Oryctolagus cuniculus: one gene and its partners. The protein of the gene in region 4 purifies or fractionates together with the protein of the main gene of each other region. This does not show direct contact. Links are inferred from orthologs where the notes say so. Each region holds a gene or a part of one and is shown on either strand. Other genes may lie near its edges.

Evidence for each region.
Region 1: the proteins of DNAJB1 (region 4) and BAG5 purify together in Homo sapiens (affinity purification with mass spectrometry; 3 studies listed by BioGRID and IntAct, with this or other methods). This does not show direct contact. The link is inferred for Oryctolagus cuniculus from reciprocal best matches to the Homo sapiens genes DNAJB1 and BAG5.
Region 2: the proteins of DNAJB1 (region 4) and BAG2 purify together in Homo sapiens (affinity purification with mass spectrometry; 4 studies listed by BioGRID and IntAct, with this or other methods). This does not show direct contact. The link is inferred for Oryctolagus cuniculus from reciprocal best matches to the Homo sapiens genes DNAJB1 and BAG2.
Region 3: the proteins of DNAJB1 (region 4) and PYCR3 purify together in Homo sapiens (affinity purification with mass spectrometry; 3 studies listed by BioGRID and IntAct, with this or other methods). This does not show direct contact. The link is inferred for Oryctolagus cuniculus from reciprocal best matches to the Homo sapiens genes DNAJB1 and PYCR3.

What each region holds. Positions count from the first base shown.
Region 1 is NC_091451.1:46,386,119-46,393,521, reverse strand, and holds BAG5 (BAG family molecular chaperone regulator 5), read left to right. Parts: upstream 1-2,630; 5' UTR 2,631-2,766; intron 2,767-2,831; coding exon of another isoform or gene 2,832-2,954; exon of another isoform or gene 2,955-3,023; intron 3,024-3,055; exon of another isoform or gene 3,056-3,332; intron 3,333-3,625; exon of another isoform or gene 3,626-3,767; intron 3,768-4,047; 5' UTR 4,048-4,072; coding exon 4,073-5,416; 3' UTR 5,417-5,556; downstream 5,557-7,403. UniProt on the Homo sapiens protein: Co-chaperone for HSP/HSP70 proteins. It functions as a nucleotide-exchange factor promoting the release of ADP from HSP70, thereby activating HSP70-mediated protein refolding.
Region 2 is NC_091436.1:112,403,206-112,410,345, forward strand, and holds the start of BAG2 (BAG family molecular chaperone regulator 2), read right to left. Parts: upstream 4,498-7,140; 5' UTR 4,336-4,497; coding exon 4,223-4,335; intron 1-4,222. UniProt on the Homo sapiens protein: Co-chaperone for HSP70 and HSC70 chaperone proteins. Acts as a nucleotide-exchange factor (NEF) promoting the release of ADP from the HSP70 and HSC70 proteins thereby triggering client/substrate protein release.
Region 3 is NC_091437.1:167,533,168-167,540,519, reverse strand, and holds the start of PYCR3 (pyrroline-5-carboxylate reductase 3), read left to right. Parts: upstream 1-3,281; 5' UTR 3,282-3,282; coding exon 3,283-3,442; intron 3,443-4,609; coding exon 4,610-4,674; intron 4,675-7,352.
Region 4 is NC_091447.1:63,135,628-63,142,781, forward strand, and holds DNAJB1 (dnaJ homolog subfamily B member 1), read right to left. Parts: upstream 4,200-7,154; 5' UTR 4,092-4,199; coding exon 3,881-4,091; intron 3,249-3,880; coding exon 2,668-3,248; intron 2,563-2,667; coding exon 2,332-2,562; 3' UTR 1,419-2,331; downstream 1-1,418. UniProt on the Homo sapiens protein: Interacts with HSP70 and can stimulate its ATPase activity. Stimulates the association between HSC70 and HIP. Negatively regulates heat shock-induced HSF1 transcriptional activity during the attenuation and recovery phase period of the heat shock response.

The DNA of each region.
Region 1 (7,403 bases), on a different chromosome or scaffold from region 4:
GGGACGCACGCGGCGCCACGTGGCCCCACCGGGCGGGACCTGTGCGTGGCGGTGTCCACGGGGCCACGGGGCGAGCCTGTGCAGGAAGCACCAGCACCACCACACACGACTCCACCGCTGCTTCAGCAACACAGTTCACGGTCAAAAAGCACAAGAGGGGCCGCTGTCGCGGCGTAACAGGTGCCAGCACCCCGTACCGGCACAGGTTCAAGTCCTGGCTGCTCCACTTCCCATCCAGCCCCTGCTAACGCTCCTGGGGAAGCAGCAGAGGACGGCCCAGCCCTTGGGCCCCTGCCACGCGCATGGAGACCCAGGTGGAGCTCCTGGCTCCTGGGTTCACCCTGGCCCAGCCCTGACCACAGCAGCTGTCTGGGCAGTGACCAGCAGCAGATCTCTCTCTCTCTGTCTCTAACTGCCTTTCAAATAAATAATGTATGCATGCCTTAAAGATCCTGCAGGTAAGCTACGAGACCCCCGGCGCACACCACCCAGGACGCGGTCTGGGAGGGGCAGGGTGCGGGGACACTGGGCAGCTGAGGTTTCGCTGGGCTGGGGTGAGAGCGACGCCTGACAGGAGTTCTGCAGTGCTTCTGTTAGGAGCCAGGGGCCAGAGAGGGAATGCAGCGCGCGGGACGGACTCAGGGGCGGAACAGAGAACGAAGGAGAGACACGGACACCAGAGAGACGCGGACACGAGGGAGAGACGGATACGAGGGAGACATGGACACGAGGGAGAGACGGATACGAGGGAGAGATGCGGACACGAGGGAGAGATGCGGACACGAGGGAGAGACGGATACGAGGGAGACATGGACACGAGGGAGAGACGCGGACACGAGGGAGAGACGTGGACACGTGGGAGAGACGTGGACACGAGGGAGAGACGCGGACACGAGGGAGAGACGCGGACACGAGGGAGAGATGCGGACACGAGGGAGACGCGGACACGTGGGAGACGCGGACACGAGGGAGAGATGTGGACACGAGGGAGAGACGGACACGAGGGAGACGTGGACACGTGGGAGAGACGTGGACACGTGGGGGAGACGTGGACACGAGGGAGAGACGTGGACACGTGGGAGAGACGTGGACACGAGGGAGAGACGCGGACACGAGGGAGAGACAGACACGTGGGAGACGCGGACACGAGGGAGAGATGTGGACACGAGGGAGAGACGGACACGAGGGAGACGTGGACACGTGGGAGAGACGTGGACACGTGGGGGAGACGTGGACACGTGGGGGAGACGTGGACACGTGGGAGAGACGTGGACACGTGGGAGAGATGTGGACACATAGGAGAGACGTACTCACCCTGGAAGGCGCCCTCGGGAACACCCGACCTGGGGCGCCCGCAGCAGGCCCAGCACACACGACTGCCCTGGGCAACAGCGGCTCCCCAGCTCCCTCCAACACCCGGCAGCACGGACACTCGGACCCCGAGCACACGGCGGGGGTCACAATGCTGGACGCGGCCAAGCGGCTCCGGCTCTGCCCTGCCTCTTCCGGAGAGCACCGGACCACACGGCCCCAGACGGCCCTGGACCACACGGCCCTGCACGCCACTGGACCACGCGGGCCCTGCACGCCACTGGACCACGCGGGCCCGCACAGGACACGACCACACGACCCGCACAGGACCAGACCACACAGCCCCAGACGGCCCCGGACCACACAGCCCCAGACGGCCCTGGACCACACGGCCCTGCACAGCACCGGACCACACGGCCCTGCACGCCACTGGATCACACGGGCCCGCACAGCCCCTGACCACACGGCCCGCACAGCCCCTGACCACACGGGCCCGCACAGCCCCTGACCACACGGCCCGCACAGACCGGACCACACAGCCCCGCACAGCCCCTGACCACACGGCCCGCACAGACCGGACCACACAGCCCCGCACAGCCCCTGACCACACGGCCCGCACAGACCGGACCACACAGCCCCACACAGCCCCTGACCACACGGCCCGCACAGACCGGACCACACGGCCCGCACAGCCCCTGACCACACGGCCCTGCACGCCACTGGACCACACAGTCCCAGACGGCCCCGGACCACACGGCCCTGCACAGCCCCTGACCACACGGCCCGCACAGGACCTGACCACACAGCCCGCACAGCCCCTGACCACACGGCCCGCACAGGACCTGACCACACGGCCCGCACAGCCCCTGCGCGGGTCCGGTTCTCCAGCAAGCAGCCTGCGGGACCTGTTGCGGCGCTGGCACCGGCGCCCAAACCGGCCGCGGAAACGCCGCACCCCGCGCAACCCTCTCGTTGCTACACGGCTGCCCCCGCCAGCGCCTTTCAGAGGCTGAATCCTCCCCAGACACCCGCGAGCCTGGTGGGTGTGCGCGCGTGGGAGCGGAAGTCGGGGCGGCGGCCGCACGAAAACCCGCAGGCCCAAAGTGTCGCAACGGCCAGCGGGCTCCCTCTCGTCGCTCCGTAACCACTGCCGGGCCCGGCTCCGCGCCGGCCTCACCGCCCCTCTCGTCGCTCCGTAACCACTGCCGGGCCCGGCTCCGCGCCGGCCTCACCGCCCCTCTCGTCGCTCCGTAACCACTGCCCGGCCCGGCTCCGCGCCGGCCTCACCGCCCCTCTCCTCGCTCCGTAACCACTGCCCGGCCCGGCTCCGCGCCGGCCTCACCGCCCCGGCCCGCCAGCGCCTGAGGACAAGCACGGCCGGCCGCACGCCGCGGCCGCAGCCACTCGCCGAGCCCCTCCGGGCGCTTCTGGAACTCGCCCTCGGGCAAACACCAGGTCCGTGCACCGCGGCGGTGGGCGCCAGACCGGGGGCGGCCCGGCAGCCCCGGCAGCGCGCTTACCCCGCTCGGCGCTGCTTCCCTGCGCTCCGCACCGCGCTCCGGGGCCCGCCGCCCGCCGCCGCCCGCGAAGGCCCGGCAGAGGGGCGGGACGAGGGTCCGCGGCGCCCGCCGCACCGCCGCCATGGGGCCGCGCCCACCTTGCTCCCGCGGCACCCGGCGGCGTTCGCGACGGCGAGCGGGGCTGCCTTACGGCAGGGTCGCAAAGCCGGCGGGCGCGCCGCGGAGGGGCCGACCGCGCGCTTTTCCCGCGGTGACACGGCTCGCGGAGGGGGTCTGTGGGGACGGGGCGGCGCGGAGGAGGCCTGCCGGGACCGGGCAGCGCGGGCGAACGCCGGCGACAGTTCCCCGATCCCTGTCGTCCCAGAGGCCCGGGGCGCGGCTCGAGGTGAGGCGCGGGCGCGGAGCCGTCTTTTCCCAGGGCTTGGGGGTGGTCGGCCCCGGACGGGGGCGCCGCGGGCTCTGCGGAAGTCGTGGGCGGCAGCGGAGCGCGTGATGGCGCGGGTGAGTGGTGCGGGGGCGCCGGCGATCGCGTCTGCTCTCTCCGCGCGCGCGCCGGCGCGGGGCTCCGCCGGGCCACCCTGCTCCCCCCCACGGGCTCCCACGCGGCCGCGCCTGGCCGGGTTCCCCGCCGGGCTGGGCCCCGCTCCGCGCCCCTCCCGCCCGTCCTCGCGGGGCGCCCGGGCCTCGGCCTCCCCCGCGCGCCCATTGTGAGGTCAGGGCCGGCGGCGAGCCGGGGGCCCGGGGCCGAGACGCCCGGAGCGGCCGCTGCGGCCAGTAGCTGCCGCCGCCGCCGGCCCCTTCACCGGCCGCCCCGTCCAGACCGAGCCGGGGGGCTGAAGGGGATGCCGTTAGGGGCCCGGCCCCGCCGCCGCACCCGGTGAAGGGCTGATCTTCCACCTCGCCGCCGCGCCTCCGGGGAGCCGGGACCTCCGCCGGGTAAAGTGCGAGAGGGAGGGAGGCCCGGGCCCGCGGCGGCGCCCGCGGGCCCTCGTGGGAGGCAGTGCAGGCAGAGTGGGCGCTGTCCCGGGCGGGGAGCCCCGGCGGAGCTTGGGGCCCCGTCGCGGGGCCTGTCCCGCATTCTGCTGGCCCGGGCGTGCCCTGCGGGCTGTTCTGTGCCGCGGGCCGGGCGGCCCCTCGGGCTGGCCCTGGGCCTGCCGGCCGGGGTCCGCGGACCTGCCGGCGGCCGCTCTGAATGAGCTCTCTTGTCGCCCCGCAGCGCTCGTGAGCCCAGGCAGCGGAGCATGGACATGGGAAACCAGCACCCGGCCATCAGCAGGCTGCAGGAGATCCAGCGGGAGGTGAAGGCCGTGGAGCCGCAGGTGCTGGGCTTCAGCGGGCTGGCGGACGACAAGGCCTACCGGAGGCTGGAGCGCATGCTCACGCGGCAGCTGTTCGAGATCGACTCCGTGGACACCGAGGGCAGGGGGGACGTCCAGCAGGCGCGGAAGCGGGCGGCGCAGGAGACGGAGCGGCTGCTCAAGGAGCTGGAGCAGAACGCCAGCCACCCGCGCCGCCTGGAGATCCGGAACCTGTTCCGCGAGGCGCAGGCGCTGGCGCAGGACGAGATCGCGCCCTTGCACAGCGGGGGAGGCTGCGCCGCGGACGAGGTGGAGGAGCGCCTGCAGGACATCGTGCTGCGGCTGACGCACGTCAAGACCGGCGGCAAGGTCTCGCTGCGCAAAGCCCGCTACCGCGCGCTGAGCAGGGTGTGCGCCGTGCAGGAGATCCTGGAGGACTGCCTGCGGAAGCAGCCGTCGCTGCCGCTGTCCGAGGACGCGCACCCGTGCGTCGCCAGGATCAACGCCGTGATGTGCACGGTGAGCAAGGCCCGCGGCACGGTGGTCGCGCTGCTGATGGGCGTGTGCGCCGACGAGACCTGCCGGCACCTGTCCTGCGTGCTCTCGGGGCTGCTGGCCGACCTGGACGCGCTGGACGTGGCCGGGCACCCGGACATCAGGAACTACCGGAGGGAGGTGGTGGAGGACATCCACAAGCTGCTCAAGTACCTGGAGCTGGAGGAGGAGGCGGACACGACCCGCGCCTTCGACCTGGGCCAGAACCAGTCCATCCTCGAGATAGAGAAGGTGCGCGCCAGGACGCGGGAGGTCAGGGCCGAGCTTCTGCGCGCGCAGAGCCCGGCCGAGCTGTACCTGAGCTCCAAGACGGAGCTGCAGGGCCTCATCGGGCAGCTGGACGAGGTGAGCCTGGAGAAGAACCCCTGCATCCGGGAGGCGCGCAGACGGGCGGTGATCGAGGTGCAGACGCTGGTCACCTACGTGGACCTGAAGGAGGCGCTGGAGAAGAGGAAGCAGAGCGTGGGCGCCGAGCACCCGTCCCACCAGGCCGTCTGGAGCGTCCTGGGGAACCTGTCGGAGATCCAGGGGGAGGTCCTGTCCTTCGACGGCAATCGCAGCGACAAGAACTACATCCGGCTGGAGGAGCTGCTCACCAAGCAGCTGCTGGCCCTGGACGCGGTCGACCCGCAGGGCGAGGAGAAGTGCAAGGCCGCGCGCAAGCAGGCCGTGAAGCTGGCGCAAAACATCCTCAGCTACCTGGACCTCAAGTCGGACGAGTGGGAGTACTGACCGCGAGTGGGCACCGGCCGCGAGGGGGCACCGGCCGCGAGTGGGCACCGGCCGCGAGGGGGCACTGGCTGCGAGTGGGGCACTGGCTGCGAGTGGGGCACCGGCGCGAGTGGGGCACTGAGCCCGCGAGTGGGCGCCCGCGAGTGGGAGCACTGAGCGGCGGGTGCGGAGCCCGCGCGGCGGCCCGGCGTGTTTTGCACTGCGTGAGACCTCCACATCTCGTGGCGCGCCCGCTCCCCAGCCGGGCTGTGGTTTGTACTTGCATATTTCAGTCTCAGTATTTGTAACTTGATGAAATTATATTCAGTACCTGCTGCTTTTGATGTCGCTAAGCAGCTGTCATTACAGGACGGCCCCTTCGTCCCCTCCCTCCCTCCCGGGCGGGCGCGAGGTCTGTGGCTGGTGTTCCCCGCTTTCCATCAGAAAGGGAAGTAGATGTAGTTCTTGTGATTGTAAGTGGGGGTGTGCACGTATTAATACGCAAATTTAAGCGTAAACTGGGCATGACTTCACGGAATACTGGAAGAATTATGAGAAGGGGGAAGTTTTGGTTCCACAGTGCAGTGGGGCACAGACCCCCCCACCCCCCACCCCGGGTTTGCGCTGAGGCCCCGCCCAGCCCGGGGGTGGGTGTGTCCTGCTCCGGTCTCTGTCTCTGAGAAGTTAACCCTCTGTGTGCCGCGTGATCATGAAGACACCCAGCAGCCTCGGAGAGGGGAGCGGAGCGCCGGCTGTCAGACGCCCTCGGCTGGGTTTGCTGTGGATCTGCACCCGAGGGCCCGGTGCCAGGAGGATGAGAACCCCGGGCCGGTCACAGGAGGCGGCGTCTGCTGCCCGGGGCCGCTCCGAGCCCACCGCCGGCAGGGAGAGGCTGCGCCCGGCACGCGGCAGGGCGGCCCTGTCCGCACTTCCCGAGGACCGCGTGTGCCCGTGCCCTGGCAGTGCCTTTCCCGGAGCGGCCCTGACGAGGGCACGGTGCCCCGAGTCGGCAGCCGGGCAGGAGGTGAGAGGTAGAGGAATAGGCTTAAGTGCCTGCGAGGAGCTGAGGTCGGCCCCAGAGGTGCGGCCCCTCCTGCTGCACACGCAGACCCTGTGTGCTGGGGCTGGAGCCCTGGCGCCTGCCGGTGCTCAGCGCAGTCCCTGGAGTGCTCATCTGGCCCGGCGCTGTGGGCACGTTAGCGTCAGCCTCTCCCCTCAGCGCCCGACGCTCTGACAGCTGACGTCTGGTTTCTGCGGCCGTGCGGCCGGCGCACTGGAGCGGTCCGCGTCGGCCCTGAGTGGCCGTCCAGCACGGACTGCGTCCCTTCCGAGCCTGTCTGTGCCACGGCTGCTGCCCACAACCAGCCCTCACGCACGGGGCCTGTGGCGCCCGAGCCCGTGGGAGCCGCCGTGTGCCCGAGCCGACGCCTGTACGCCCGGGGTGTGTTAGCTTTTCGCGCTTGTTTTACGTCGCTGGTTTTTATCTGGTTTCGGGGGTCTGTGTTCATTTTGTCTGCAAAGCTTGTACCACGCCGGTGTTTTCCCTGGGGAGGAGTGGCCGATCGCGGTGCGCTGGGTCCCCGCCCCTGTTAACCACGGGACCGTTGGTACCGATTAGCGCCCTTGGTGATCCACGCAATAAATCTCGGCTTCATGTTTGTAGTGGAGAGAGGCTGAGTCTGGTGTGTTCCCTCTGGCCCCGCCCGTCGTCACCTGACGTGTGTGACGTGGGAGGGTCCCTGTAGTGCCAGGCCGGCGGAGCGTGGCGGGTGGGCTCCTTGCTGCAGCTGGTGGCAGTGAGTGGGTCTCTGTCCCCTTGCCAACAGCTGGGGGCGGGGCTGTGGTCTGACACAGAAATTGACCTTTTTATAGAAAGAGGAAGAAACTCTGGGACATGGTTCTGGAAACTTCTGGGAGAGGAGTCTAGAGTTACCGAGTGCGGTCGGTCGCGGTGCCTGGGCCCCGCCTCTTGCAGAGCCCTGAGGAGGGCTCGGGGTCAGCCCCGCCT
Region 2 (7,140 bases), on a different chromosome or scaffold from region 4:
TGATATGTCTGCTAATAGAGTAGGCAGTGCCAACTGCATGGGCACTGCCACTTGCTAGCCGTGTGACCTTGAACACTTCCTCTCTTCCTCAATTCCTCACCTATGAAATAAGGCTAAGAAGGAGCTGACGGTCATGACTGAGGTGAAGCAGGTTAACACAGTGCCCGACAGAGCTGCAGCAGTATTGTTCGTGTGAGCGACTATGTGTAATGTGCCCAGAAGGTATTCTATACTTACCATTATCAACATAAACTTCTATCTGTTAGTAACAAGAACTTGTGTTTTCACAAAAGGAAGGAAAATGGCAAATGCCCATATGAGAGAAATGACTTCTGAAACAAGTTCTTCAAGTCACAGCACAGTCCTGTTCTGCTTCAATATTCCTGTTACTGTTATGGGAAAACGGTGGTGGAGAACATACCTGGGTTCTTTGTCTCACATGGAAGAATATTTTCTAAGTGGGTAAGCAGAGAGATTTAAAGATTTATTAGAGTCAAAGACCACCATCCAGAGCAGCATGGAGGGGGGCTCCCAAGAAAGGAAAAACCCCCAAAGCACCCTGTGGCACTGGGGTTTTTAAGTATAATTTTGGGATGAAACTGTCAATCAATAAGGTGGGGGACAACCCCAACACAGGACCTTATTTACAATTCTTCATCCTGCCTGGCTTGTTCACAATAAAACAACCATCACAAGGGTGCGATATCTAATTTGTTTTCACAATAAACTGGAGCTCTGAAGGGTAGAGTCACCACTCCCTTGCTATTTTCGTGATAAGATTGGAAGCTCCCAAGGAGTGGGCAGGCAGACACTTCTGACCTTGCTAAGGATAACTTTCTGGGGGGAACATTTTCCACCCTCAGTTTCCAGACTGCCTATTAAACCATTTGACTCTTCACATTATCAGAAGAATGCTACAACAATCACTTAATATTTTAAGCAATGCAAAACTTGGAAGGATTTTCCTAATGATTACCAAAACGATAAATTACATTCACTATCAAAATACTCTCCTGTAAAAAAGGGACGGGTGTTTTTAGTGTTAAGGCACTAAGTCAGGAATGACAACAGCCTTGCGCAAGCCACTTAATTCCCCTGGACCTCTGTGTTCTTACATTTCTAAAACCGATAACATGGGCCCTCTTTCTACCTCAAAGGGTTTTTGTGAGTTTCAAATGACAGCTTGGAGGCAAAGTGTTCTTTGAAATTACAGGCTGTTTTTACCATAATAACTATGAAGCCATCTGCCCTGGAATGCTAGTACCACCTCACAAGGAAACTGAAGCAGATGAATTATCCATATAACCCCCGACCCGGGACTTCATTTCCTGTGGCACGATAAGCACAGAAAATGGCAGACAGGAGGAGGGAGGCAGCCATTACATGATCAGTTTTGGGAAATATGTGAGCAGCCCATCTCCCAGTCCTATCATTTTGCTCTCTGACAGTCTCCAAAACCCATTCCTCAAATATTTTCCTTACCATTCTGAGCCTTCTGGGGTCTACCCGGTATCTGGCAGATCCCGGGTGTTTAATATTTACTGAACTAAAGGCTACTTGAAAATGCATTTTCCTGTCAGTAAAATCATATCATTTCTACATTTAAAATTATGATGTATTTAAGAGAATTAAGGCATGAAGTCTTAGAGCCTTGCGAGCCAGACTTCCTGTGTTCAGATTTAAAGCACACTACTCTCTGGTGGTATGACCTTGGATGAGTCTTTAGTTTCTAAGCCTCAGTTTCTCATCTGTAGAGTGCAGATTACAGTAATTTCCACACAGATATGGAGCCTGACATGTAAGCTGTATTATTTATAAATGATAAATGTCTAAAAAGATAATTAGCAGAGTAGCTTGAGCTATTGACAAATGTAAAATTATATTCCATTCAGAAATCATGAAAACCAGGAGAGAAAGGAACTGCCTCTTTGGGGACGCAATCTGGAGACAAAATGCAGTCAAAAAAGCAAGGCTTGTGTAACAATCAAGTATCAGAAACAAACTGAAGAAGACTGCCAAACATTTTACAGCATTTTAAGCATCAGGAAGGCCAAATATTCCAGGTCATCAAGCACTGGGTATAATCCTGTTTTTGGTTTCAGAGGGAAGAAGTTTCCTTCCCAAACATCAAACTAGCATTAGAGAACAGTACATGCATACTTCTAAGTACAAGCTAAAATGCCTCACTCTACTAACATAACTACTTTATTAGTGTTACTTAATATGACCTCAAACGATGAGAATAAATTATATATGAATTTCATGTTTGAAAACTCGACCTCCCTCTAGGCACGATTCTAGTTTTCACTGGTACAATGCTCTGCACATTGCCTGCATGGTATCATCCAAACTTCAGTTAGGATCAGCAGTAGCATTTTTCTCTATTTTTGCGAACCTTCTGAAACACTTGTTTAGTTTTCAGTATTACTCTTTTTAAAAGGAAGAAACAAAACTCTAGAATTATTCGAGAAGCCCTTGAAATGAACAATTAACACACATATTAATCAGACTTTCCTCCTTCAGCCCAAGTGGTAATTAAGCAACTTGTAATTTAATCACTTATGTGCAGTAATCAGAATTCATTTGACATTCACCAAATATCAGAAATACAGTAATACCCCAAATCAGAGGCCTTGTTTTAGAAGAGGAGCACTTGACTGCTTTTGTGCCTACCACATGTGAGGACAATGACTCAGCTTGTCATTGGAAGGAAGGAAGGAAGGAAGGAGGGGGAACATGCTCCTCATTCCTATAAGAGAAAACCTGTTCTCTCTGACTGGGGGAGAGAGGCTAGTAGAGAACGCCTGGAGAGAAGTCTAAGGTACTTACTAAGCTGCTACACAAAAGAAATCCCATTCCTTAGAGGGGCTTGGAGTAGCTGAGGCCACTGTAGTTTCACTCCACTTTCTCTGGGTGTTGAACCCAGGTTTGCTGATTCTGTGGCAATCCATAAGGAAGCATTGCTTCTCTCTTCAACTTGTCGCACCCTAAGTGAACCCCAGTACCTGGCTTAGGGCCCAGGTGGCTCTGTTGCCATCCCTGGAATTGTGAGTGGAGAATTTCACACTTTCTGGCGATTTCCTCCCAGTAGTAATAGCGAATCTTTTTTTACTAGCAGACACTGTGGTTACTGGTATCTTTTCTGGGCAAACAGACACTTCTTCATGTTTTGCTATATTAATGGAGGGAGAGAAGGACACACAATACAGCACTGTTTACACTTTGGGGCTTCCACACTCCTTTGCGCCTTCAGAGCTTGGCAGAAACTACTGAACCAAATCCTATGTACAGTGTCAGGGGGCTATGCGTGTCTCAAGATTTTCACCTAACTATACCTGCACACAACCACAACGCAGACACTAACTTCAGACACAAATGTTCATAGATAGTACATATACGTTTTTATACACTGTTAAAGGAAAAAGCCATTTCCAAAACTTATTACTACTTAGACATTCTATACAAGCCTATCACTATCTTACTTACTTAAAACTGTCATCAAGGGAAAAAGGAAAAACTGTTGACTATCTTTTCATGCTTTCGGGCCAGTGACTAGCACTTTTAAGGTCTCAGCAGCATCTTTTATGTAAGGTAATAAATATTAAGAAAATAAATACTGGAACACAGTATGTGGGCTTAGGAGAGCAAAGGCAGCCATAATGTCTTTAATCCACGAGGTACAGGACCCAGTTACTGTTCCTCCTACAGCCCCTCCCTTGGCCTACTGCTCTACAATTTTTGCTCTTAGATGCATTCCTGGGGTCCCCCCCCTTTCTGCTCTGAAGTGCTTTGGAACAAGAAAACTTCACGGGGGGTGGGGTGGGGTGGGGAGAACACTTTAATCTTTTTCCCTTAACTCGCAACCTTGGGGGGGGGGGGCTTAAAGATCTTTGGGACCCCAGAGAAGGTTCTGGAAATAATCTCCATTACCATCACCCTAACTTTTATCTTCTCTGGGTATTCGCTAAAACACACAGGTGTGTTCACGTGTCCATCAATAACGTGCTCACAGGTTAGCTGGGACGGAACGCGTTTTCTCTCAGCGAGGAGAGGAAAACCTGCCAGGACACAAAACCGCACCGCCTCCATCCACACCACCCCAACAAGCAACTTCTCTCGCCGCCGCTTGCCCCAGGCGGGGCCTCCGCCCGCCGGCCGCCCACGCGGCGAGCAGGACGCCCGAGCCCGCCGCGTGCCCCTCGCCGGCCCGCCGGCCGCTCACCTGAGCTCGAGCTGGTCCAGACTCTCCAGCAGGCGGCTGGAGCGGTCGGCCATGGAGGAGGAGCGGCAGAAGCGCCCCTCGTTGGCTTTGGCGTTAATCTTCGCCTGAGCCATCTGAGCCTCTGAGGCGGGGCGGCCGAGAGGTCACCGGCCTCTCCCGCGGTGGCGAGTGGAGCGCTCCCGGGCCGCAGGCGTCGCCGTCACCGCGCGGGGCGCCCGCCTCTCTCTGACGCCCGCGGGGGCGGCTCGCGAGGACGCGCCGACTCCGCCGCGGCTGCGTGGCCAAAGAAGGGCAGGCGCGGCGCGCGCGGGCTGGGGGTGGCGGGGCCTGGAGGGGGCTAGCTGGCCGCAAAAGCTCGAGGGTGGGCCTCAGGAGCTAAGGCCTCCGAGACTCTGGGATGGGAGGACCCAAAAAGGGGAGCACCTAACGTAGTCGGCTGCTCTCTGCTCCTGGAACAACCCGAAATCGGCGCGGAGACCCAGCGAACACCCAAGCCCCGACTCTTGGTGCAGCATAAAAGTAGCCAACTCCCCCTATGCGGAGTTACCATACCACACGGTGGGCAGGCTGTGGGTGCATGGCTCACCGATGGTTTCGTTTACTTCCTTTCAGCACCCAGAATTCAAAGCAAGAACGAAAAAACATTCAGGTTTCTGCCGACAGGGAGAAAAGGTCCCTTTGCAAAGCAGAAGACATAGAAGGACACCGCCTCCTCGGCAGTCTGTACTTGACCAAGTCACTTTTCTGAGAATAACAGCCTGGACCACACTGACGCTACTGAGAAAGAATGAAGCAGCTATCCCGTCTTTGCCTGTCTAGCTCCAGATGCGAAGCAAAGTGAATTTAATTCCCACACATTCCAAGAAAGGGAATTTCACTTTTATGCCTACAAAAATTTTTTCTGGTATTTTAAATAGTTGGTAATGGTCACTTCACACCCAACGTATTAAATCTGTTAACGACAACAACAAAAATCCAGTAAATATCAGTAAAAGATGGAGCAGGGCCGCTGTATTTAAAATATTGTGCTTTGCTCCGCTCTCAGGATAGCTCACGTTACAAGAATGTTCGTATTGCAAGTATGAAAACTGAAGGCATGGAAATGGTAATAACAGCTTTGAAGCTGAATCACAACCTTTCATCAGTGACCATCACCACTTAAATACTTTAGCAGAGAGGGAACTCTTAAGCCTGGATCCCAATTCCATCTGTACTCATTCTAAATACTAGTAAGCTTTTGGTATAGGGTGTTATTTGACCGATCTCATTAAACATATTTTTGCCAAACATTAAACTCGATATCCCAACACATTTTGTGAATGGCTTGATGTCTCTCAAGAGACTTTAGATTCACCTTGGACTTTCTCTCATGTCCTAGATCCAGTCCATCAGTAATCACATGAATGCTACCTTCACAGTATGTCCAAGATTCTTCCCTCAGCTCCATTTCCACTAGGTCCACGTAACCTGGTCAACTTGCACCTGGATCATTGAGCGTCCCTCTTTGGTTCATACTTCCACTCTTGCTTCTCATGTGTATTCTCAACTGCAATAATCCTAATTAAGGTGGATGACAGCACTTACTCTCAGAAACCTTCAGTAGATCCTCAGATCAGCATAAAAGCCAAGGTCCTTAGAAAAGCCTCAAAGTTGATCATTACTCTCCTAGCCCATGCTGCTTCAGACCTACTAGCCTTCTTGCTTTTCCCTGAGTATACCAAGCACCCTTCGAGAACTTCTCATTCACTTGGAACTTTTCTCAACCACAGATACTTCTTTTTTTCCCTAAGATTTTATTTTGAAAGAGAGAGAGAATGAATCTTCCATCCACTGGTTCACTTCCCAGACGGTCATTAACAGCCAGGCCTGGGCCAGGCTGATGCCAGGAGTTTCATCCAAGTCAGCTGTGGGTGGCAGGGGCCCAAACACTTGGGCCATCTTCTGCTGTTTTTGCAGGCCATTAGCAGGGAGCTGAATCAGAAGTGGAGCAGCTGGGACACAAATCAGCACCCATAAGGCATGCTGGTGTCAAAAGCAGTGGCTTTAACCACTATGCCACAACACCAGCCCCTTCAATACTTCTTGACTTATAATGGGTTAGTCATAATTGTATTCATAATTTTAAAATATTCTAAGTCAAAGACACTTTTTTTTAAAGATTTATTTTATTTGAAAGACACAGAGAGAGAGGTAGAGACAGAGAGGTCCTCCATCTGCTGGCTCACTCCCCAGATGGCCGCAACTGCCGGAGCTGCGCGGGTCTGAAGCCAGAAGCCAGGAGCTTCCTCCAGGCCTCCCACATGGGTGCAGGGGCCCAAGGACTTGGGCCATTTTCTACTGCTTTCCCAGGCCACAGCAGAGAGCTGGATTGGAAGAGGAGCAGCTGGGACTAGAACCAGCACCCATATGAGATGCCGGTGCTTCAGGCCAGGGCTTTAACCCGCTGCACCAAAGCGCCAGCCCCATCAAAAACACATTTGATATGTTTAATCTATCTAACATAGCTTAGCAACAGCACACTGTAGTGTTTAAGTTGCTTATTCTTGGTAGCTTACCAAGAACTGAGGCTTTCTGCCACTCCCCAGTATCTCAAGAGAATATAGTTCCACATCACTAATGAGCAAAAAGATCAAAATTCAGGATTCAAAGTATGGTTTCTGTTTCCTCACACTATTGTGAAGTCAAAAATTCACGTCAAACTTTTGTTAAATTGGGGACCAATGTATTTGCAAAGCTTATCCCCGTGCCTTCTTCAGGTCACTGTGCATGTTCAATGTTCAACTGAGCTGTTTTCTGACCACCCTTTTAAAAAAAACAAGTCCCAGGGCCAGTGCTATGGCACCAGCATCCTTATAGGGGCCGATTCATACCACGCTGTTCCTCTTCCAATCCAGCTCTCTGCTTTGCCCTGGGAAAGC
Region 3 (7,352 bases), on a different chromosome or scaffold from region 4:
ATGGCCTGGGCGGGGCCGGGCTTTGGACAGCTCGGAAGCAACCGTGCCTGGGGCCGGGGCCTCAGCCTGGCCGGCGCAGGTCAGCTCTGCCACCAGGGGGCGAGCACCCTCACCGGAGTCCCTGTTCTTCGCGGGGAGACCAGAGTCCAGAAGGCTGAGCCAGTCTCCCCGCGGGGTGGTGCTGGGGCGTGGACACAGGTCCTGCTGCCTACAGCCTTCCTGGTGTGGGGGCCGCCAGGACCGGGCCCATCCCTGGCCATGGTCTCCCGGGAGCCCCTTGCTGTCCTCACCTACGCTCCTGTCTCCCGTGTTACCTGGGCAGCATTGGTGACTTTCCCTGTCCCGGGCACCCAAGTCGGACCTGGGTGCCCGCACCCCCAAGCCCACACATGGGTACCTGCACCCCAAAGCCCACAGCTGTGCCTATACCCCCGAGCCCACACCTGTGCCTGCACCCCAAAGCCCACAGCTGTGCCTGCACCCCCGAGCCCACACCTGGGTGCCCGCACACCCAAGCCCACACCTGTGCCTGCACCCCCGAGCCCACACCTGTGCCCGCACCCCCGAGCCTACACCTGGGTGCCCGCACTCCCAAGCCCACACCTGTGCCTGTACCCCCGAGCCTACACCTGGGTGCCCGCACCCCCGAGCCCACACCTGTGCCTGTACCCCCGAGCCCATACCTGTGCCTTCACCCCTGAGCCCACACCTGTGCCTGTACCCCCGAGCCCATACCTGTGCCTGCACCCCGAGCCCACACCTGGGTGCCTGCACCCCCGAGCTCACACCTGGGTGCCTGCACCCCCGAGCTCACACTTGGGTACCCGCACCCCCAAGCCCACACCTGGGTGCCTGCACTCCCAGGCCCACACCTGGGCGCCTGCACCCCCCGAGCCCACACCTGGGTGCCTGCACCCCCCGAGCCCACACCTGGATGCCTGCACCCCCGAGCCCACACCTGGGCGCCTGCACCCCTGGGCCCAGCTGAGCCTCTAGCATCTGTCACCACCCCTTTCCCTCTGGGAAGCCAGAGTTCCTGCCCCAGGCCTCCCCACCTTGCAGGTTTCCCCTGAAGTGGCTCTTCCTCCAGGAAGCCGTCCCTGACTGCCTCTCAGCCGTCTCCCACCACCAGTCCTGCTGCGCCGGGGTGCTGGCTTCTCTGGCTCATGGGCCTTGAAGCCCAGGACCTGGGTTGTGGGTGCGGGTCCTGTCCATGTGAGGGTCCAGGGAATGCCCCTTGGGCCAGGCAGGTCTGGAACCGTGGGAGGGGCCCAGCAGAGGTCCAGGGATGCACTTGGCAGGTGACAAGTGGCTGATGGGCTTCCAGCCAACATGGTGTGGGACAGGAGCGGAGCTGCCCACGGCCAGGGACGGCTGGGACGGGAGCGGAGCTGCCCACGGCCAGGGGCGGCGGGGACGGGAGCGGAGCTGCCCACGGCCAGGGACGGCTGGGACGGGAGCGGGGCTGCCCACGGCCAGGGACGGCGAGGACGGGAGCGGGGCTGCCCACGGCCAGGGACGGCGGGGACGGGAGCGGGGCTGCCCACGGCCAGGGGCGGCGGGGACGGGAGCGGAGCTGCCCACGGCCAGGGGCGGCGGGGACAGAGGCAGCGGGGACAGGAGCAGAGCTGCTCACGGCCAGGGACAGCTGGGACAGGAGCGGAGCTGCCCACGGCCAGGGGCGGCGGGGACAGGAGCGGAGCTGCCCACGGCCAGGGACGGCGGGGACGGGAGCGGAGCTGCCCACGGCCAGGGGCGGCGGGGACGGGAGCGGAGCTGCCCACGGCCAGGGGCGGCGGGGACAGAGGCAGCGGGGACAGGAGCAGAGCTGCTCACGGCCAGGGACAGCTGGGACAGGAGCGGAGCTGCCCACAGCCAGGGGCGGTGGGGACAGGAGCGGAGCTGCTCACTGCCAGGGACGGCTGGGACAGGAGCGGAGCTGCCCACTGCCAGGGCGGCTGGCATTGGGCCACTGGGTCCTGTCCCCACAGCTGTGACTGGTGGCCCTTATCTGTTTCATTTCACCGAAGGCAGCCGGCTCCTGTCCTCCACTGTGACACGGGGCTGGGTGCTACAGGTCCCTGCCGTGTCCCTCAGTCCTTGTCCCAGGGCATCGCAGTCCCAGGAAGCCAGGAGAGCAGGGACAGAGGGGGCAGCAGGGACGGCTGCAGGTGGGCAGGGCGACCTCACACTGGCACAAAGCATCCAGACCACAGTTCCCTGGGGGGGTCAGCCCGTGGCCCCACCCATCCCATCTCCTAGAAAACCAAGCCCACTGCTTCCATCGCCCTCTAACTGGGTGCTCGGGCTGCAGCCCTGGAGGGTCCCAGTGTCCTGCTGTCCCTCCCGGCCATGTCACTGCAGCCTCTGCCCCACTCTCCCGTCCCCACTCAAACGCTGGTTCCCAGGGACCCTCTCCCTGGGCCTGGTCTGCTGCCCACCTGCCAGGAGCGTGACCCCGGCTGTCAGAGCTTCTGCCCACCTCCCTTAGCTGTCGACCTCCGAGAGTCGGTGTGAACGCGGGGAGAGGCGCAGAGCCAGACCAGAGCAGCAGGGAGGGCCAGCACTGTGGGCCCAGCTGTCCAGCATCTGCACCTTCCGGCTGCAGTGACCGGAGCAGCCTCCCAGTCCCCATCGCTCCCTCCCCGGCATTGTTTGCTCTCGAATCTTGGTGAGACTGGCATGTCACGTGTGTTGGTGCCCACGCGAGCCTCTGCGTGGATGGGTGTGTGTGCGCCCAGGAGTGCCTGTGTGGGTGTGCCTCTGTGGATGCGTGCATGCGCACACGCGTGCCTCTTCGTGGGTGCGTGTGCGTGCGTGTTGGCTGCGGAGGGACTGTTGCCACAGCCCAGTGGACCGCGGCGTGAGGGACAGGTGCACCCGTCCGGCCGCTGCCTTGCGGTTCGGAAGGGATGCGGGGGTGGGGCTCGCCGGTGCGGAGCGCGGCGGACGTCATGGGGCTCAGAGACCACAGAACGCCTTCGCCGCCTCAGCCCGGGTGGCGGGTGAGACCCCCACAACCCGAGATGTGCTGAGGCACGCAGACGCCCGCCCCGGGCTCGCCCAGCGCTCCTGCGCCCCAGGGCAGCGGGGAGGCCCCGGCTCCGGGAGCCGGCTGACGCGGGCGCTCGGGGCTCCCGGGTCTGCGCGCGCGGGCCTTTCACCAGCTCCGAGCGGGTGGCCCTTCCTGGAAGCCCAGTCGCCCGGACCCACCCACCGGCGGCGGAGAGCGCCCTGCTCCGCGACGCCCCGCCCCTCCCCGCCCCCCGCGGCGCTCAGCCAATGGGTGGATGCGGCTCTCCGGCGACCTCGGCCAATGAGCCGCGGGGGACGGGCCCAGTGCCGGCAGCGGCGATGGCGGCGGAGGCGGCTCCGCGGCGCGTGGGCTTTGTGGGCGCCGGCCGCATGGCGGAGGCCATCGCGCGGGGCCTCATCCGAGCAGGTAGCGGGCTCGGGGCGGGAGGGCGCCCGCGGGTCCCCTCCGGACCGCGCTCCCGGGCGCACAGCCGGCTGTCCGCGGCCACGCGGGCTGGCGTGCGGAGTGCGGCGCTCCCGGGTTCTGTAGACCTAGGACTGGGGAGAGGGGCGGGGAGGGAGGGGAGGGGAGAGGAGGGGAGAGGCAGGCCGAGGACGTGGCTCGCTTCCGCACCGTGCCTGGACGTGCTGTCACGTAGAGCGCTCTTAGGTTAGCTCCATCCGTCTCCTCCGCTTTTGGAAGTGCGGTTACGTGGGCGGCTCCTGGAGACGGTGCTGGCCCGCGTGGCCCGCTTCCTGGCCTCACGGCCTGGGTGAGGTTCACCCTCCTGAGCCCCAGGCTGGTTTTTCCGTCTGTGCGCCCTCAGTCCTGTGGACGTCTGCGGCCCTAGGGTGTTGGGCATCCCCGGCGGCTGTCTGTCGGGAGATGCGGACAGCCAGGTGTCTCCTGGGCGGGGGGAGGGGGCATCGCCCGCGCACCCTCCCAGAGCTTGGAAAGCTGCACCTGCCACGCGGGCACCGGGAGGGGCGACCTTTGCCTTTCTGCCCTCGTCAGCCAGAGCTCATGGTGCAGAGGAGTGGGGAGCAGCCGGGAGAGCGCCCAGCAGGTCTCGGGGATCACCTGCCTCCCCGGCTCCACGGGCTCCGGGAGCCGCTGTCACAGATGTTGAGCCCAAGCGGCCACCCTGATGCCCGGCTGTGTCCAGGGGCTGATGGGCTGTCTTCCTGTTCAGCCCGGTCTCCCCAGCTCCCTGCCACGTGGCCATCCCAGCACCACCACCCCCTTCCAGGGAAGCTTGGCCCCAGTGAGCCTTCTGTGGTCAGGTGCCTTCAGAACCAGGACAACTCCCTGGCCTGGTGCTCCCTTTGGGCCACCGTACTGTGCTGCCCTCCCCACTGCCCCGGCCAGTAAGCCCCTGGGGTCCGTGTGCTCACTGGACAGGCCAAGCTCCTGGCCCCTATGTCCAGCAGCAGGCAGGGGGCGGTGGCTGCCCCATGAAATCAGTGCACCTGCTGTGTCGCCCCAGGCGGGCGGGACATCACCCAGTCTCTAGGGGCCAGGGCTGGGCGGGGCGGGGGGAGCAGACTCCTCCCACCCTCTCACCGCCCCCTCTGCCTTCTCCATTCTCTCCAGGGAAGGTGGAAGCGCAGCATGTGATGGCCAGCGCACCGACAGACAGGAACCTCTGCCACTTCCGGGTGAGTGGACGAGTGTGGGGAGCAACCTGGACTAGACTAAGTTACTCGAATTAAGACTTATTCTATGCACCTGCTCTCCCACAATATGGCGCTGGGAGAGGAGAAAACAGCTTCTACCCAGCTGCCTCCAGTTCAACCAATAAACAGTAGGACTTGCTCCTGATTGGAGGAGAGCAGCGTACTCGGCGTGTGGGCAGCCGAGTTGGGATTGGTGGAAGAGGACTATAAAGGAGGAGAGAGACAACATGCACCAGGAACATCTAAGGGGAACACCTGAGGAACACCTGAGCAGCCCCCGAGAAGCCCCCGAGAGAGCTGGCCGGCGGTGTGCCGCTCCCCTGCGGAAGTGGGGAATGTGGCAGGGGGAACCGCCCTTCCACGGAGGTGGAAGGGATAGTAGCCAACCCGGGAAGAACCAGCAGCAAACCCGGGGAGGGCCGAGCAGACGAAAGAACAGCGCAGGGTTCTGTGTCGTTCCTCCACGAAGAGGGGGAGCGACATAATGGTGCCGTGACTCGGATAGGAAGCCTAGGCAGGGCTTAGTGTCGTTCCTCCATGAAGAGGGGGAGCGACATAGTGGTGCCGTGACTCGGATAGGAAACCCAGGACGGATAGGAAACTTAGGACGGATAGGATACCTAAGAGGGAAGAAACGGGAAGAAGTGGAAAATGCCAGAGAGAGAGACTAGCAAACAGCCTAGGGAAAAGCCGGACGAAAAAGGTGCCAGAAGAAGCTATTGAAAGCCTAGGCATAGACTCGGATACGGACTGTGGGAAAGAAGTTAGGATTTAAAGTGAAAGCAAGAAGAAACTTAGACTCAGATACGGACTGCAGGTTGAAAGTGAAAGTGAAACCTATAAGAAACTTAGACTTGGATACGGACTGTGGGGAGAGGCCAGGAGAAATGAGGGAGGAATATTGTTGGAAGAAAACTTAGGGAAACATACCGGGTAGAGAAAAATGTTAGGGAGGATGAAGCCGCAAGTGCAGGCCAAGGTGGAAACGGAAGCCATCTTGGAATTCTTCAAGTCAGCCCGGGGAGCAAGAGGCGAAAATCTGGAACCAGAGGCAGAGACGTGGGCCGCCAGGTTGGAATTCGCCAGGTTAGTCCGGGGAACTTGGACTGAATGCCGATGGTGGCGGAAACATTCGCGGAAGCCGCCGCGTGCAGAGAGAGCACGGGGCGTGAATAGATAGGGAACGCGGGGCTGGCGTGAGGCCGTGGTGCAGGCGCGAAGTGCGTGGAGACTGCGGAGCGTGCGCGCAGAGCCGGGAACCCGCCGGTGGGGCGAGGCGCCGGGAAGCCGCGCAGAGCCGTGAAGCTGCCGCGGGGCGAGGTGCCGAGAAGCAGCCTCGGGGCGGGCGCCGCCGGGAAGCCGCGGGGATAAGAGAAACAGAAGTTTAGAAGTAAAATGAGAGAAATAGGAATGTTGGCAGACAGAAGTAAAATGGGAGAAATAGGAATGCCTGGAGATAGAGAAATAGAGAAATAGAAAGACCTCCCCACAATACTGCAATGAGAAGGCTTGGATTCGGTCTGCCTGATTAGTGAGGCGATGAGCACCTGCGGGCGGCTAGCAGCTTATGCGCCGTAGGTCACCGAAGACAGGCACGAATTAACATCAATAAGGCCTCCCCACAACACAGCAATGAGAGAGCTTGGATTCGGTCTGCCTGATTAGTAAGGCGGTAAGCACCAGCAGGCAGCTCGACCAGAGTATGAGCTGCAGGTCACCGAAGATAGGCACGAACCAACACTAATAAGTCTCCCCCACAATACAGCAATGAGAAGGCTTGGATTCGGTTTGCCTGATTGTTAGGGCTTGTAAGCCCCTGCAGGCAGAGCAGAGCATGCGCTGCAGGGCACCGAACACAGGCACGCATCAGCGCCTAAAAACCTCCTCACAACATGGCGAAGAGAGGACCCGGATTCGGTTTGCCTGATTGATAGGACTTGTAAGAACCTGTGGCAACTCTAGCAAGCAGAGCAGAGTGTGTGCCACGGGGCACCGAAGACAGGCGCGTATCAACGCCAAAAAATAAAAAGAAAGGGGGATCTGTGGGGAGCAACCTGGACTAGACTAAGTTACTCGAATTAAGACTTATTCTATGCACCTGCTCTCCCACAATATGGCGCTGGGAGAGGAGAAAACAGCTTCTACCCAGCTGCCTCCAGTTCAACCAATAAACAGTAGGACTTGCTCCTGATTGGAGGAGAGCAGCGTACTCGGCGTGTGGGCAGCCGAGTTGGGATTGGTGGAAGAGGACTATAAAGGAGGAGAGAGACAACATGCACCAGGAACATCTAAGGGGAACACCTGAGGAACACCTGAGCAGCCCCCGAGAAGCCCCCGAGAGAGCTGGCCGGCGGTGTGCCGCTCCCCTGCGGAAGTGGGGAATGTGGCAGGGGGAACCGCCCTTCCACGGAGGTGGAAGGGATAGTAGCCAACCCGGGAAGAACCAGCAGCAAACCCGGGGAGGGCCGAGCAGACGAAAGAACAGCGCAGGGTTCTGTGTCGTTCCTCCACGAAGAGGGGGAGCGACAGACGAGGGGTCCCCCAGGGGCCCAGGGCGACGCCTGTCGACCCCAGTCCCTCAGCTGCTTCTCGGGGCCAGGGAGCGGGGCTTTTGGAGCTGAGGTTCTGAGAGTGTCTACGCTGAGAGTGTTGGGCAGGGT
Region 4 (7,154 bases):
GGCTGTGTCAAAGTGGAAGCAGCTCCCAGCTGTGCTGAGAGAGGTGGTGTGGGAAAAAAATGAATCCATCAAAGGGACTGCCCAGAAGCTGGGGAGGACGGGCATGATGGCACGTGCAACAGACACCTCTGTGTGTGTGTGTGCACACAATGAGCCCCAGCTTTGGCCTCTGGGCAAGCTAATTAAAGTGCTTCTGAGCGCCAGGCCAGGCCAGGCCAGGCTTTCTCGCTCCACTGCAGCCCCTTTTGTCTTTTTAGAACCACACAGATCTCCCCTTTCAAAGCAGCCCAGCCCACTCCCCTTGTCTCTGCAGGTTCTCAGAGCCCTGTCTACCCTGAGGCTTCCTGCAGCTCAGGTCAAGTTCACGGGGACCCTCTGCCCAGCAGAGCAGCCTCTGGGATGGGGCTGGTGGCCTGGGTGACCCGGGATCCCGCCTGGGGCCAACGCGACCTTGGTGCCCAAGATAGCTCAGTAACTGGCTCCCTTGATAACAGCCCCTCGTGGGTGACTTTCCAGGGGCCTGCAGTGGTCTCATGGCTCAACCTGGCTGCTCTTGGGGATAGGGACCCCAGACCTGCGCCGACCAGTGGGAGCCGCTAGCGACTGTGGCCCTGAGATGTTCCCTTTAAAGACATTTAAACTGAAGACAGCTGCTTGGGACACCCCTTGGCAGAGTGCTTACAGCCTTCTGCGCACCTGCACCCTAGGAGGTGCCTGGACATGTGGGAGACCCTGACAGAGCGCCTGGTTCTGGCCCAGCCTGGCCCAGCCCTGGCTGCTGCAGACCCTTGGGAATGAACCAGCAGATGGAAGCGCTCTCTGCCTTTCAGATAAAAACATCACCGCACAGACACATTTTGAAAAGTAATGCTTAAATAAGATACATGGGAGGTTCTCCAGAGCTACAGGTTCCCGGACTAAGTGACTACATTGTTTTACGTGTGTCAAGTTCACTTCCAAGCAGTGGCTACACTTCTGTAGCAAAGTAGCAACACATCCTTTTAAGCCCGTGGTAATTACTTGCCTTAGAAAAACCAGTTCCTTAAAAAAGTTACAAAGTCACAGCAGCGTCCCTAGCCAGGACCAGAAACCAGTCTTTCCCAGGGCGGGGCCGGCCAGCTGCAAATTTCCTTGTGCGTTTCGGCCAGGTCTGAGGAGAGGCACTGTGGGGAAGGGTCAAGGGCAGCCCCACAGCTCCCTTGGGCGGCAGTGACCAGCCCTGCCCTTGCCTGCCCTTGGCCTCAGACTTCACAACCCCAGTGTGAACCCAGCGCCCCTGGGAGGCTCTGGCTGTGTGCACTCAGGCAGGGCTTTATCTCGCCCCTGCAGGCACCCTCCCCCCTCCCGCTGGAACCTCCCACCCCCCGCACCCCCCCACCCGGTGCCCAGAACCAAACACGAGCCGAGGGCCGCTCCCGGGAGGTTTCTCATACAGTCTTTAATGCCATCACCCTGCACAGCGACAAGTCACACACACTTTGGTCTCATGTCGGCAGTGGCAACGTACAATGAGTCTCAAGGGGCTGAGCACCAGACGGGTGTCCCGGGAATAGACCCCGCCTCCGCCCGGGGCCATGGGGGCAGGGCAGGGCCCGTCTGGGGGCACCCCGGCCTGACGGGGAGTTATAAAAACATTTACAGGCTCCTGCAATCGGGAGCAAAGACCCTTTTATCAAAAGGGATTATAGCTATGTCTCTATACATCTCTCCAGGGTTGTGCAAAATTCCGAAGGATCAGATCCCTTTGAGAGAGAAACAAAACGAAACGAAACAAAACAAAGTCCAGAGTCCATGGAACAGAAAGGGCACCCGGAGCTGCCCAGAGCTCGCTCTCGGCAAAGCACGGCTGGGCCCCGTCTCCGTGAGCTCCCGGGCTCCCGTGGTCCCGCTGGAAAGAGGAAGGTATTGCTTGTGGGCGCCGGCCGGGCAGTTCTGCAGAGTCTAGCTTTCTCCACCTGAGATGGCCAGGATGAGCCGGGGGGTGGGGGTGGGGGGAGGCATGGAGCAGGGGAGACAAAGCACAGGACCCAGCTGCAGGTGCGGGGGGGGGGAGGTGTCTGGAGGAGCGTGGGGCGGGGCGGGCCTCGTCCTGCTCTGCCCACCACCTGCCGCTCCGCCGCCCGAAAAACCAGCACAGTCGAGTGCACGACTTTCAAAGATTGTAATATATTCTCTGGAAAACATAGAGCAGGATCAGGCTCCCGGGCCCTCCCGCCCTCTCACGGTCCACGAGTGCCGGGGTAGCCGGAGACGCTGAGCTCTGGCGAGGTCCCTGGGGCCGGCGGCGCCCGGATGATGCGGGGGCGGTGGGTGGGTGGGTGTGTGGGGGCGCTAGATGGGCAGAACCTGCTCCAGGACGGTTCTCGACGTCTGGGGGATCCTTTCGGGGAAGACCACCTCAAATTCGATGATGAGGTCCCCGCGCTTCTCCGGCGTCTTGGGGAGGGGCAGGCCTTCGCCCGGCACCTTCCGCCGCATGCCGGGCCTGATGACGTCTTTGAAGACAACGGGGATGCTGCGGCCGTCCAGAGTCGGCACGTTCACCGTGCAGCCGCACAGGGCCTGGGCGGGGGTGGGGGGGGGTAGGACAGCGGTCAGCCGCGAGAGCCTGGGGAGCCCCGCCCGCCCCCAGCGCACCCCCACGGCTCCCCACCCCCGCGGCCTCACCTCCCGCAGGCTGACGCGGGCCGGGTAGATGACGTCCGAGCCGTCTCTCTTGAAGATGTTGTGTGGCTTGTCCTTGAGCACGAACACGATGTCGGCGGGGATGTTGCTGGAGGTCTGGTCCCCCTCCTTGGGGAAGGTGATCTTGGTGCCCTCTTTCCAGCCCCGCTTCACCTCGATCGTCAGGATCTTGTCTTCGTTCCGGATGCTCTTGCCGTCGGGGTTCAGCCGCTTGTGGGAGATCTTCATCTTCTTGGTGCAGCCGCTGTAGATCTCTTCCAGGGAGACCCTGAGGTCGTGCGTGACGGGCGGGTCTTGCTTCTTGCGGGTGGGCTCCTGGGCCGGGCGCGAGCGGCCGAAGTTCATGTTGGTGAAGCCGCCCACGCCCATGGGGAAGCCGGCGAACGGGTCGTCGATGTCCATGCCCTCTTCCCCGTTCCGCTGCCCAAAGAACGTGTCAAAGGGGTTCCGGCCTCCGAAGAACTCGGCAAACATGGCGTGCGGGTCGCCATGGAACGTGTAGCTGAAGGACGTCCCGTTGGCCCCGCCGCCGCTGCCCCCGCAGGGGCCGCCGCCCTTCAGGCCTGCGAAGCAAAAACGCAGGGACGTGAGGGGGCGGGGCGGGATTGCTCTCAGCCCGCCGAGGGCCGGACCCCAAGCTTGCACCTGCCGCTGCAGACACTGGGGGCCTCGGCCCGCAGGTGACAGCCACCAAGGCCCGGCCCCTGCCTGCTCCCGGCTGATCCTCCCAAGAATCCACCAAGAGACCCAGACATGACCCGGGGTGGGGGAGAGGGGGGAAGAGCGGCGGCCACGTCCCCTGAGCCCAGAGAGAACGTGGGCAAATGCAGGCCAACCAAAGACACCCCGGAAGCTTTCTGAAGCTCTCCCGTCCCAGCACCAATCGCCGCTGCCCTGATGATCGGAAAAAAAAAAAACACACTCTACTGGCTCAGGACCGAGCCCGGAAGCCGGTGAGTCACCGACGGGCAGCTGGGCAGGCCGAGACCCGGCCGCCCCCCGCCGCGCCCCCCGCCCCGGCCCGCACCGGGTGCAGACCCAGGGAGGGGCCGCCCGGACGTGCTGGAAGCTTCTGCGCGAGCGGCGAGCCGGGGCTCCTCCTCCGCCCGCCGGGGGCCCTCTCAGCAGCCCCCCACCCCCGGCCGGCGGCGCGCGTGCCTCGGTTTCCCCGCGCGCCGCGGCCGCGCGCACGCACCCTCCTCCCCGTAGCGGTCGAAGATCTCGCGCTTGCGCGGGTCGCTCAGCACGTCGTAGGCCTCGGCGATCTCCTTGAACCGCTCCTCGGCGCCGGGCTCCTTGTTCTTGTCCGGGTGGTACCGCAGCGCCTGGCGGCGGTAGGCCCGCTTCACCTCCTCGTCCGACGCGCCGCGGGCCAGGCCCAGCGTCTGGTAGTAATCCTTGCCCATGGCGCCCGCCCGCGGCCCCGCCGTACCCGGCTCCGCCGCCGCCGCCCGGCCCGACTCTATATACCCGTCCGGCGGAAGCTTCCAGAGCCCGCCAGCCCCCTCCAGAACCTTCCGCCCCGCCCCCCGCGCCGCGCCGGCCAATCGCCGCGGCCTCGGCCCCGTGACGCCCCCATCCGGGGCGGGGCCGGGCTGCCAACGGCCGCCCGCGTGCGGCCACGCCCCTTCCCTCTCAGACCCCCCCCCCCCGCCTCTCCCGGCAACGCCTCCCCGCGGCGAGGGCACTGGGCAGGCGGAGGGCCCGCCCACCCCCTCGGGGAGAACCAATCACGACTTCCCGCTCACTGTCTTCTAGGATCTGGCAGGCTGCGAGCCCTGTCCGTTGCCGGGTCCACAGGTTACCGCAGCGGAACGCGGAGCTCCGGGAAGGGGCGGGGCGAGACAAAGCCCCGCCCCTCGAGGTGGCCCCGCCCCTGTTCCCAGCAGATATAAACCTGGCCTCCCGTCTCGCAGGCTGGGTCGTGCAAAGTTCGGCAGGCTTGGTGCTGTTTAGCACAAGTGCAAGAGTGGCACGCCCTCCTCAGCCAGCGGGGAGGGGACAGTGCGAGCCACGTCCACTCCCCTGGAGAGGGTCCTGCCCTTCCTGCCCCTGGTGTCACCCTTGCCGCTGAACTTGCCGATAAACTTGAAATTCCCTTTTCCTTGGCTTCCCTCCCTCCCAGCCTGGGCTGGCGACCAGGACCAGAACCGGGTTCTGCCTGTTCCTAAACAGTCCCGGTATTTGGCTCCTCAACAGACCTGGTTTCTGGCTTTAAAAATTTTTTTTTATTGATTTCATTTTATTTGAAAAGCACAGAGAGAGAGAGAGAGAGAGAGAGAGAGAGAGAACTTTCATTCAATGGTTCACTCCTTAAATGCCTGCGATAGCCAAGGTTGGGCCAAGCCAAAGCCTGGAGCCAGGGACTCCATCCAGGTCTCCCACGTGGTTGGCAGGGACCCAAGCATCACCTGTTGTGTCCCAGGATGCTCATTAGCACGGAACTGGAAGGGCAGCAGAGGAACCACGAGTGAGCCCAGACGCTCCCATGTGGGATGCAGGAGCTCTGGTTGGCATCTTTTTTTTTTTTTTTTTTTTTAAGATTTATGTATCTGGGGGCCAGCGTTGTGGTGCAGCGGGTTGAAGCCCTGGCCTGTGGCACCAGCACCCCATATGGGCACCGGTTCTAGTCCTGAATGCTCCTCTTCTGATCCCTCTCTCTGCTATGGCCTGGGAAAGCAGTGGAAGATGGCCCAAGTCCTTGGGCTCCTGCACTCATGTGGGAGACCTGGAAGAAGCTCTTGGCTCCTGGCTTTGGATCAGTGCAGCTCTGGCCATTGCAGCCATTTGGGGAGTGAATCAGCAGATGGAATATCTCTCCATTTCTACCTCTCTGTAACTGTCTTTCAAATAAATAAATAAATTTTTAAAAAAGATTCACCTATCTATTTCAAAGTCACGAATCATAGAGAGAGGGGGAGAGTCTGAGAGAGAGAAAGAGAGAGAGAGAGGTTTTCCATCTGCTGGTTCACTCCCCAGTTGGCCGCAACAGCTAGCACCAGGCCAGGCTGAAGCCAGGATCCAAGAGCTTCTTCTGGGTCTCCCTCCCACAAGGGTGCAGGGGCCCAAACACTTGGGCCATCTTCTACTGCTTTTCCCAGGCCACAGCAGAGAGCTGGATGGGGAGTGGAGCAGCCAAGACTCGAACGGGTGCTCACACGGGATGCCGGCACAGCGGCCAAGACCTGGCGGCATCTTAACGGCGGCACCCCAGTCCCCGCTGCTTTCACGTGGGTGCCTCTCTCAGCGGAGCAGGATTCACATGTGGGCCTCGCGATCTCTCTGGCTGTGGCTGATGGGGAGAAGGAGGCTCAGAGGGAGGACCAAGGCTGCCTGGGGTGTGGGGTCGGCAGCCGTGGCTCCTGTGTGCCTATGGGTAGAGGTGCATGGAGTCCGCGGTACGGGCGCTTTCTGTGTCTGGTCTTTACTGCACAGTGCGGGGAGCAGGTGCATCCACATCACGGGGCTCGGCAGCTTACCTGAGTCACATTGGTGAAATGCCCGGGGCAGGCCTGGCACTGAGGAAGTGACGTCAGAGTGATGACTGACAGACCCGTGCTGATCCACGGTGTGCTGCTATGAGGCACCCCCGGGCTCCTGGCAGGGCTGCCCTGGCACAGGCTGTGGCTACTGGGAAAGGGGGCGTGGCCTTCCCCTTCCCCATTGGATGGCTCTCCCTGCTCACTCACTGACCCCCAGGGCACCCAGTCCTGACCATGACAGGCACTGGCCAACTTAGGAGGACAGGAGTGGGGTGGGGGCGCCCCCTAGCCCAGCAAAGAAATAGGGGTCTTGGGGCCAGCGCTGTGGCGCAGAGGATCAATGCCCTGGCCTGCAGTGCTGGCATCGCATAGGGGCGCCCGTTCTAGTCCGCGGCTGCTCCACTTCCGATCCAGCTCTTTGCTGTGGCCTGGGAAAGTGGTAGAAGATGGCCCAAGTCCTTGGGCCCCTGAACCCATGTGGGAGACCTGGAAGAAGCTCCTGGTTCCTGGCTTCAGATCAGTGCAGCTCCGGCCGTTGTGTGGAGACCTCAGCCCCCCAAGGGCTCATGACTCGGGAAGGGGCCGCGATGATTAGTTCTGCGTGTCAGCTTGGCTATGCTCCAGAACCCAGGCTGTCCAGTGAAACACGAGCCTTAGTGTGGCACTGAAGGCGTAGGGTAGACAAGGTTAGGGGGATGTCGCCATCAGCTCACGGTGAGGACAAATGACCTCTCTCTCTCTCTCTCTCTCCCCTTTCCTCCCTCCCTCCCTCTCTCTCTCTCTTTTTGCCTCTCCACTCTGTAACTCTGCCTTTCAAATAAATGAATAAATCTTTAAAAGCAGACAGCGAGGGGTGGCTGTTTGCCACAGCAGTTACAATTCTTCATGGGATGCCTGTATCCTGCACTCCAGGGGAGGCAGCACACCACGACAGCTCCAGTACTTGGGCCCCTGCTACCCATGTGGGATTGATCCAGATGGCAAGTT